2 linked regions of the Oryctolagus cuniculus genome follow. The protein of the gene in region 1 purifies or fractionates together with the protein of each later gene. This does not show direct contact. Links are inferred from orthologs where the notes say so. Each region holds a gene or a part of one and is shown on either strand. Other genes may lie near its edges.

Region 1 (4,332 bases):
CTGTGTCGCCAACAAAGGCAGACAGAGCTCAGAGTTCCAATGCTCACCAAACCCGGTGGTCTGCGGGTAACCTGTGCTCGTTAAAACGCACACAACGCCCGGCTTCAAGCAAATCTGGAGTGTTGCTCCCGGCTCGGTCTCCAAGCCTCACGAAATATGTTAGAGGAGGGAAACAGTTGAAGCGTACTTGTTAATAATTCTTCCGCTCTGTTTTTCCATGAGGCGGATTTCTTTTCAACAGTCACAGAGTTCAGAGAAAAATAAAATCACTGCAAAACTAAAAGATGCTATCCTCACATAAAGTATTAATACTGAAAACTTATCAATGTATTTCATCAAAAGGACACGGAACACACAACCTGAAGCCCAACAGCAAAAGACACGCACTCCCTTTGGACAAGAGACGGATGCAACAGTGGCTACAGCAGCGAATGCTACAGTGGCAGAAGCTGCACTAACATTACCCAGCCCAGCAAACACACTCAGGGACTCACACGTTCCCCTTTGATGTCAGTTTTAATAAGCAGCTGGTTTCTCTAGGAAGAAAAAGAGGGGAGAAACTTTAAATTTACATCTTTAAACTTCAGGTACAATAAAAAAAATTTTTTGCCTCCTGGCTCTAATTTCCAAGTCCACCTCATTTTCTTTTTCTTGTTCAAACATCATGAGTCATATCAAACATCTGGTGCTCACGAAATTTACTGCTTTAAATTCAACTGAAAACTGACCGTCCACAACTGAACAAGTGCCATCTCAATTCAGAGAAACTGAGTGCTGACTTCATCTCTACACAGCATCTCCATACCTGTATTTGAAAATGTAGATTTTTTCTTTTCCTCTTGACTTGGAGGGGAAAAAAGCAACAACGAATGCAGCCATCACAAACAGGACTCATTCGGGGAGGAAAACGGGGGCTCTCTCCCTGAGCGCCTCCTCTGTGACAGCTTTTTTTTTTTTTTTTTTTGGCAGGCAGAGTGGTCAGTGAGAGAGAGAGACAGAGAGAAAGGTCTTCCTTTTGCCGTTGGTTCACCCTCCAATGGCCACTGTGGCCAGCGCGCTGCGGCCAGCGCACCACGCTGATCCGATGGCAGGAGCCAGGTACTTATCCTGGTCTCCCATGGGTGCAGGGCCCAAGCACTTAGGACATCCTCCACTGCACTCCCTGGCCACAGCAGAGAGCTGGCCTGGAAGAGGGGCAACCGGGACAGAATCCGGCGCCCCGACCGGGACTAGAACCCGGTGTGCCGGCGCTGCAAGGCGGAGGATTAGCTTAGTGAGCCGCGGCGCCAGCCCTGTGACAGCTTTTAAAAATGATTCAGAATCATCTAAACGTCTACTAGTTAAGCACCAGACTAAACCCTCAAATGCCAAGTGTTCGTTTGCCGTGGTAATGGAATAAAAGGCTGGGAACAGGCAGGACTGGCCAGTAGGATCTGAATCTTCAGACGGGAGGGCCAAAGCTTTAAGCCGCACTGCTCCTTGTTAACTTTTCATTAGCCTCGTCAACAAGAAAATCCACAGGCTGAGGTTCGGATTCTTTCCTTTCCCGGGCTTTCCCTCCGGCAGGGGCAGGAACGGGGGAGGGCACAAAGTCTAGAGTACATCAGAAAACAAGGCAGAACATCCCGCTTGAGAGGCAGCCACGGGAAAGCAGGGGGAAGAAAATCCAGTTCCCCATTTTCAGCCTGGCGACTCCCTTCCAGAACTCAGCACTGCCTGCCAAAAGCAACGGCGGTGGAGCAGATGACTAAATATCACCCTCAACCTCCGCCTGGCCTCATCGCGGGAAGTCTTGGTGGCTCCTCGGCTGAGACATGGAGGGGCAGAGCAGCCAGAGACGGGGGCCCGGCGGAGCAGGGATGCAACCACGCTGAAGCCCCCTTTCTAGTCCTTGTCGTATTCAGATGAACACAAGCTACCTGCTGAGTTTGGGACTAACTACACTGCGCATCTGCTCTCACACACACATTGCACTCGCTTGTGAATCCCAGAAAGCGGCCTTGGCGAAGCCAGCTGAAGTTGCAAAGCAATGCATCCCTCCGGGCCAACACAACCAGAGAAAGTCACTGAACTGAATTCACCCTGACAGAATGCAAAGGGGTTACTAGGAGCACAGCCCAGCAGCCGCTCTTTGCTGAACGAACGGGCTTCACCTGGGCGAAGGAGCCAGGGAAAAATCTCTTTGACAGGATACCTGGCCTCCTTCTCAGCTGTACAGAACATCCTGCCACGCCCTCCTGATAAATCCAAGCCATCAACTTCGGAGACTTATAAAATACCCTGTTACCTTGGGCGCCCTGTGCTCCTGACCAGCCAGCGGCCACGTCCTCCCTAACACCCCAGACCCAGGACGGCTGTTCTTGAATCCACGGTCTGCTACCCTCCTCATCCACTAGTGCATTAAACTTCTCCCCTTCATCTTCAAAACTTGTCCCCCCCGCGGCGTGGACGAGGACCCCGCACTGGGTAAACGAGGCCAGCTTCTCAAGAAACTCCAGGAGCCCGAGCGGCGACCTGCACAAAAAGCCCTCTCTGGGTACCGAGGGTCTGCGAGCCCGCGCTCCCCGACGCCCGCCTGTCCGAATCTGAGGGTCCCAGGTTGAAAGCGGGGAGGGGGCGCGCCGCCCCCGCCCGACGCCCCGCCCTCTCCCCCGGAGCCTCCGCCCTCGTCCCTCTGTCCGCTCCACGGGAGACCAGCCTCGTGCGTGCCTTTCCGACCTGTACCCGTGGGGAGCCAGTCCACAGCGCGACGCCTCCATGGCCGGCTCTCCGGAACGGCAAGCAGGGGCAGACCCCCAGACGCCGCTGCTGGGGTGGCAAGTCTGGCCGGCGGCCGGGCCCCGCCCCCTGGCAACCACACCCCGCACTGTCGCCGGCGCCCATTGGCCCTCGCGCCGGCCGCCCCTCTCTCATTGGATTCCTAAGGGGCGGGAGGAGCCCGGGAGTTAAAGGCGCCTGCGCCAGGGCGGGGACGCGGCGCCGGGGCTGGATCCCCTGGAGCGCTGGGCTGGGCAGGCACTGAGCGCCGGATGTGTGGGCGTCCGCCGGGCGCCTGGGCTCCCTGCAGCCGACAGGGGCGTCCGCCCGAGGAGCAGCCCACCCCCACCTTGCGCCACCCAGGGAGCGGCTTCGGCCTCGCAGCCGCGTGCATTTGCAGACCCTTGCGCCGCCCTCGCCTCCGTAACCCACAGAGAACTGCTCCAGCTCTTCCCTGGTGCACAGAGGACAGGAGAGGATGTTTCCGTCCCCCCCCCCCCCATTTCCTGGGAACCAACTACTCTCTACCAAGGCTGGGGAACTATCACTTGGTCCGGCCCTGCCAAGGCAGCTGCAGGCGGGACTCGTGGAGCAGGCTAACTTTTAAGTTGGTAATGCTCCACGGCCCACGGAGATGTTACAAATTTCCAAATGGCACTCGGCAGAAAAGAGTTCCCAACCCCTGAAGTTGTCTCCGTGGCATTTCCCATCGTCAGCTGTTTGCACATGGGTTACATCTTTAGGAGGGGCTGGCACCGTGGAGCAGAAGGTGAAGCGGCCACTTGCAAGGCTGGCGTCCTCTAAGGAAAGCCTGCTGGAATCCTGGCTGCTGCAGTTCTGATCCAGCTCCCTGCTGTTCTGCCTGGGAAAGCAGCAGCTGATGGCTCAAGTGCTTGGGCTCCAGCCACCCACGTGGGAGACCTAGATGGGGATACTGGCTCCTGGCTTTGGCCTGGAACAGCCCTGGCCAGTTTGGTCATTTGGGGAGTGAACCGGCAGACGGAAGTTGTCTCTCTCTCTCTCTCCATCACTCTGCCTTTCAAGTAAACAAATCTTTATTTAAAAAAAATTTAAAGGCATAGATCTTGGCACAAACTAACAGCAGAGCATTGAACTTACTGTGTGACCATAAACATGGCTCACTCTCTGGGCTTCAGATTCCCACCTATAAACAGAACACCTGCTTGGTCCAGCTGGGACTGCACCTGACACAGTGTAGGCTCCTGAATGCTCAGTGAATGGGGCTTAAATGAGATGCTACTTGCATAACCCACGTGACACTTTGTTGACTGGGCAAGCCTGCATTAGCTCCAACAGTATTCAAAAAGGTCCACGTTTATGTATACACCGTTATTATAAGAAACCATTTTCCTACCCTTATTTAATATTTACAGATTTAACATTTACAGGTTTCTTGGGTGGAAACACTCAAAGCACAAGCTGATCTAAGTGCCCCCTCTGTGTGTGCCACTCATCCCTGATCCCACTGCATTCACTAAGGCAGGCCCTGAGCCCCTGTTCATCTTGCTCTGTCAGCACACGAGCCAAGAGGAGGGGTGACAGAAGGCCACTCCG
Region 2 (4,521 bases), on another chromosome or scaffold:
CTTGGTCTAAGTCTGAGAATATGAACCAACAGCTGAGTCCAGGATTAACAGAAACCCTTGAAGCACTCAGTGAGTGATCACCTCCATTCACCAGCTCCCCTCTGCAAATAAACGAGGTACACATTTTACCTATAATATGTGTGTTTTTCTGGGCCAAAGTGTCTTTCATTTTGACCAGATGTTGCAAGCCTCCTAAAATAAATAATTTCTGATTTTGAATTCGCAATCTCTTTAACTCTTGATCCTCATGATGCTAACTTTGTGAGATTGGTAACGTTTACTCTCATTTCACCGATGAAAGTGGGTGAGAGGCAAGTTAAGTGACTTGCACAACTGATACCAGAACCCAGGTCCACTACACCTTAGCCTAACACTTCTCCCCTGTGCCGTTCCCGAAAAGCTTCGGTCAAGTGCATCCTACTCACTGACTCACACATTTTAAACGCTGGATCCGTCTCCACTGCTCAACTAACCCAACTTCTTTTCTACAAACAGGGAAACTAAGCAGCAACCAGTGACTAACCAGAGTGAGAACCACGGTTAAATAGTTTGGGGACTGGGCTGTTCTAATGGAAGCCACAGTTTGCATTTCCCAGGAGAGGGGACAGAAACCTTGCGCAGTCCGCGCCACACCGACGGCTCTGCCATTTCCTAGCCGTGTGCCCAAAAGCAAGCCACTTCAGCATTCGATGCTGGCGGGAAGACCTCCCCCGACGCGGTTCTGAGGATGCGTTTCCTAACAAGGCAGGCCACCCTCGCCTCACAGCACACGCACGCCCGGACGCCTCCCGTTGCTGCTCCCGCGGCCCGGGTCGAACGGGAGACCTCTCCCGGCGCCTCTTCGCTTCCCTCAGCTCCCCCAGTCGCTTCGGGGCCGGAAGCGGGGCGCACCCTGGGCTGACCCAGCTCTCAGTACCTCAAGCCCAGAAAGGCCCACCCCGCCTACTCGCCAGCTCCCATTTTACAAGGGTGAAGGGGCGGCCCGAAAGGGGACAGTCACTTGCCCGAGGTCGCAGGGCTGGGCTGGGGCTGGGCGCTCGCTACAGGAGACCGCAGGGGCAGCTCCGCCATCCCCCAGGCTCGGGCTCTCCATCTCAGCCGTGCCACCCTCAAAGCGGGCTCCAGCTGCGACCCACGGCCGAGAGCTACGAGGCCCTGGAGCGGAAGAGAAGCAAGAGGTAAAAACCTCTGCCCCTCAGGCCGCTGAGATAAAACCAGTCTGAATGTAGTGAATGAACGCGGGAAAGACTACACAGTTGCTTTCCGGCCGCCCCCGCCTCCATAACTACCACTTCCACGGCTCCGCCAATCATATCCTTTATCGGGGAAAACGTCCCGCCCCCTCTACCCGTCTCGACCAATGGCGCACGCCTTGGTGGCGCTTAACGCCTTCTGGGCTCCCTTCGTCGCTTTTACTGCTTTTCTCGCCCTCCCTTTTAGGCATGCGCACTCGGAGCTACGGGGGTCGCTCGCGCGCCGCTCACTGCGCATGTGCGTTGCCAGGGGTAGCGCGGGTAGCCAAATTGGCTCGTCGAGCGGAGCGGGTTGCTGAGGCGGGGAGGAGGGGCCCGAGTCGTGAGGGAAACCGCGATGAGGGCCGTGCTGACGTGGAGAGATAAAGTCGAGCAGTGGTGAGGCGCGGGGCAGTCTGGAGGAGCGGGGAGGGCGGAGCGCCTTCGGGGATGGCGGCAGCCGCGGCGGGAACCGGCGCGGTTGCCAGGGGCAACGGGCCTGCGGCCTGGGCGGAGGGCCGCGGACCGGGGGTCTGGGAGCCCGCGGGGTCACCCTCCCGGGGGCGGCGGCCGTTGGAGGCGTTTTGGGCATCCTCAGGGAGCGGTCCCTCGGCTGAACTCCGTCAGGGTCGCCGCGCCCGCGCGTTGCCCGTGCCCTCGGTGGCTGGATTTCTCCGCACCGCCGCACTGAACTTTCTCTGAAGTGCGGTTTTTAGGTTTCCCACGGAAACTTAGGTACAACGTGTATGAGAAACGAGTGTCGCTTGCTTTTAAGTGTCAGGGGAGTGTCCAAGTACAGCTGGGAGGCGCCCGGACGCCGCTGCCGGGGAGCGGGGCGGGCCTCTGGGCCCGGAGGGTGGCCGCTGCCCTCGAAAGGTGCTAAGGTGAACGGCAGCGAACCCGGCCCTGCTCGCCGGCTGGCGTGTTTCGTGCCCTTTAAAAGTCACCTGCACCGCCCATCACACCACGGTACATTTCGGGCAACACGGACTGCGTGGGTGATTCTCAGCCTGACTTTCAAGAATCTTCCTGGATGGTCTTTTCAGCCCCCTGGCCCAGTGGCGGGCCACGGGGGTCAGACATGTGTTCCCTGTCTTTGCTCATCTCACGGTGAGATCCTGGGCGTCCACTACGGGCCCCTTCGAGCAGTGCCGCAGCCATCTCCGTAGTGAGTGATGGCTTTGCGGCTACAAACTCAAGAGTTTGCGTGACAAACTCAAGAGCGTGCAGGGGTCAGGCAGGGACATAAATGAGAGATGCGTGTTGGTAAACGCAAGGAATGGTCCGTGTTCCTTAGGAATATTCTATCTTGCACCCTACATCGCTTGAAACACGTGGCGCGCTCAGTGTGTCGCTTATTTCTACTTTTAATAGACTTGAGTTTAAAAAAAAAAAACATACCTCTGTTGTGAAAGTGCCCCCAGTGCAAACTGGTGACACCTGGCACCTGCACGTGTGGCTTGGATGCCACCGAGTAAGAGTGACAAGGACGGTGGGAAACTGGAGAGCGCCTGCTGTACTCTGCCCGTTGCCACCATGTAGCAACTGGCCTTGTGTGCTCAGATCTTCCTGTTTTTACCAGAAGCTGCAAATCTGGGCTTCTCTCTGAAATGTCCTAATTTTTACATGTTGGCATCTAATCTGGAAAAACAAAAGAAAACACCATGTGGGCCAGACAAAACATTTGCTGGCCCAGTGCAGCCTGATTTGCTGTGTTCTCAACCCCTGGCACAGAATTTTGTTCATTTCTCTCTTGTGGTACTTAGAGTCTATCCAGAATAAAGGCCAATTTTTAATCTGTTTAATCCAGAAGTCTAGAAACTCTTTAAAAAGCAATGGCTATATTTTATTTATTTCCGGATTATTCCAGAGCTTGGTCAAGTTGGTGGTGGTTATTACTATTTGATGGCTACATGTATTCATCGAATGGATGAATAAGTGAGTGAGTAATGAACAAGCATTGATTATTTGGTTTTGGCCAGTCGTAGGTTTCTGTTAGAACAGAGGGCACACGGGTTCTGACGGCAGCTGGACAGTCAGTTGGTAGTCCAGAAGGACGCAGAACAAAACAAAAGTCTATAAAAAACAGAGAGTAGAACTCAACACAGATCAGCCCTTCCTCACTGACCCGGCCTCTGCCTCTTCGGCTTCCAGTCTGACCTTCACATGCGACAGACTCTGTTTCTAGACTGCGCTTACATTACAGGTCAGATCGTGCCTATGGCTAGGTGGTTCTTATGATCACTGTCCCCATGGGCTTGCTCACATTTGAATTTATCCTTTCCAGTTCAGCCTCCGACTTTTCCTACCCAAAGATCCTTCCCAAATGCTCTCTTAGGCGTCTGTGAACTCTGGTTTTCCCTTTTAAATGCAGTGCCTCAGGTTGATGTCACCCATGATGCCATATTTGCTGGCCCATCTTATTCCAGTCAGGCTACTCTCCAGCAGTATTTACAGAGTACCTGCTGCAGGCCAGATGTGGACACACGTTTCCTTGGTTAATCTCCACAGCAACCTGTGAGGTTGGGATTGTTATCCTATTTACAAAGGAGGAATCAGATTTAGTGAGGTGTCACAATTTGCCTAGGATTACAAAACAAGTAAGTGGCGCTAAGTGATTGTGTAGGGTTTGGAGAGTTGTCTCGGAATTTCAGTGTGCAGTGGGCTGGGTGCAAGATTGGCACAGGACAAAGGTTGGATAGAGAATTCACGCTCTATCTGTGCCATGGAATTTGATGATGTATCTTTTTTTTTATAATTCTGTTTCATGTTTTTAAGATTTATTTATTTATTTGAGAGGCAGAGAGAGAGAGAAAGACAAAGAGAGGTCTTCCATCTGCTGGTTCACTCCCCAAATGGTTGCAATGGCCGGAGCTGGGCTGACCTGAAGCCAGGAGCCAGGAGCTTCTTCCGGGTCTCACATGCGGGTGCAAGGGCCCAAGGACTTGGGCCATCTTCGCTGCTTTCTAGGCCACAGCAGAGAGCTGGATTGGCAGTGGAGCAGCCAAGACTCGAACCAGCGTCCATATGCCGGCTTTACCTGCTGCGCCACAGCACTGGCCCCAGTGATCTATCTTTTGACTCTGTCTTTTTGGTAAAAGGGGCAGTGGGAAGAGGGAGCCTCCTGCAGGGGTGCTGACTGCCTGCAGACCTGTGAGCCTGCCAGGGAAGGTGCCGGCGGAGGCTGCAGGCTGTCTTGTGGAATTCTGGCCCAGGTGAGGGAGTCAGGACTACTGGATTCTTCCCAAATCTTGAGCTTTCGTGATGTCATTAAAGTCTGAAGGGGTTG

The links.
Region 2: the proteins of TULP3 (region 1) and IFT122 purify together in Homo sapiens (co-immunoprecipitation; 6 studies listed by BioGRID and IntAct, counting the BioPlex papers as one, with this or other methods). This does not show direct contact. The link is inferred for Oryctolagus cuniculus from reciprocal best matches to the Homo sapiens genes TULP3 and IFT122.

What each region holds. Positions count from the first base shown.
Region 1 is NC_091440.1:106,431,224-106,435,555, forward strand, and holds the start of TULP3 (tubby-related protein 3), read right to left. Parts: upstream 2,835-4,332; 5' UTR 2,760-2,834; coding exon 2,710-2,759; intron 1-2,709. UniProt on the Homo sapiens protein: Negative regulator of the Shh signaling transduction pathway: recruited to primary cilia via association with the IFT complex A (IFT-A) and is required for recruitment of G protein-coupled receptor GPR161 to cilia, a promoter of PKA-dependent basal repression machinery in Shh signaling.
Region 2 is NC_091441.1:114,431,005-114,435,525, reverse strand, and holds the start of IFT122 (intraflagellar transport protein 122 homolog), read left to right. Parts: upstream 1-1,438; 5' UTR 1,439-1,590; coding exon 1,591-1,631; intron 1,632-4,521. Other genes in the region: MBD4 (methyl-CpG-binding domain protein 4), read right to left, coding at 1,005-1,093. UniProt on the Homo sapiens protein: As a component of the IFT complex A (IFT-A), a complex required for retrograde ciliary transport and entry into cilia of G protein-coupled receptors (GPCRs), it is required in ciliogenesis and ciliary protein trafficking.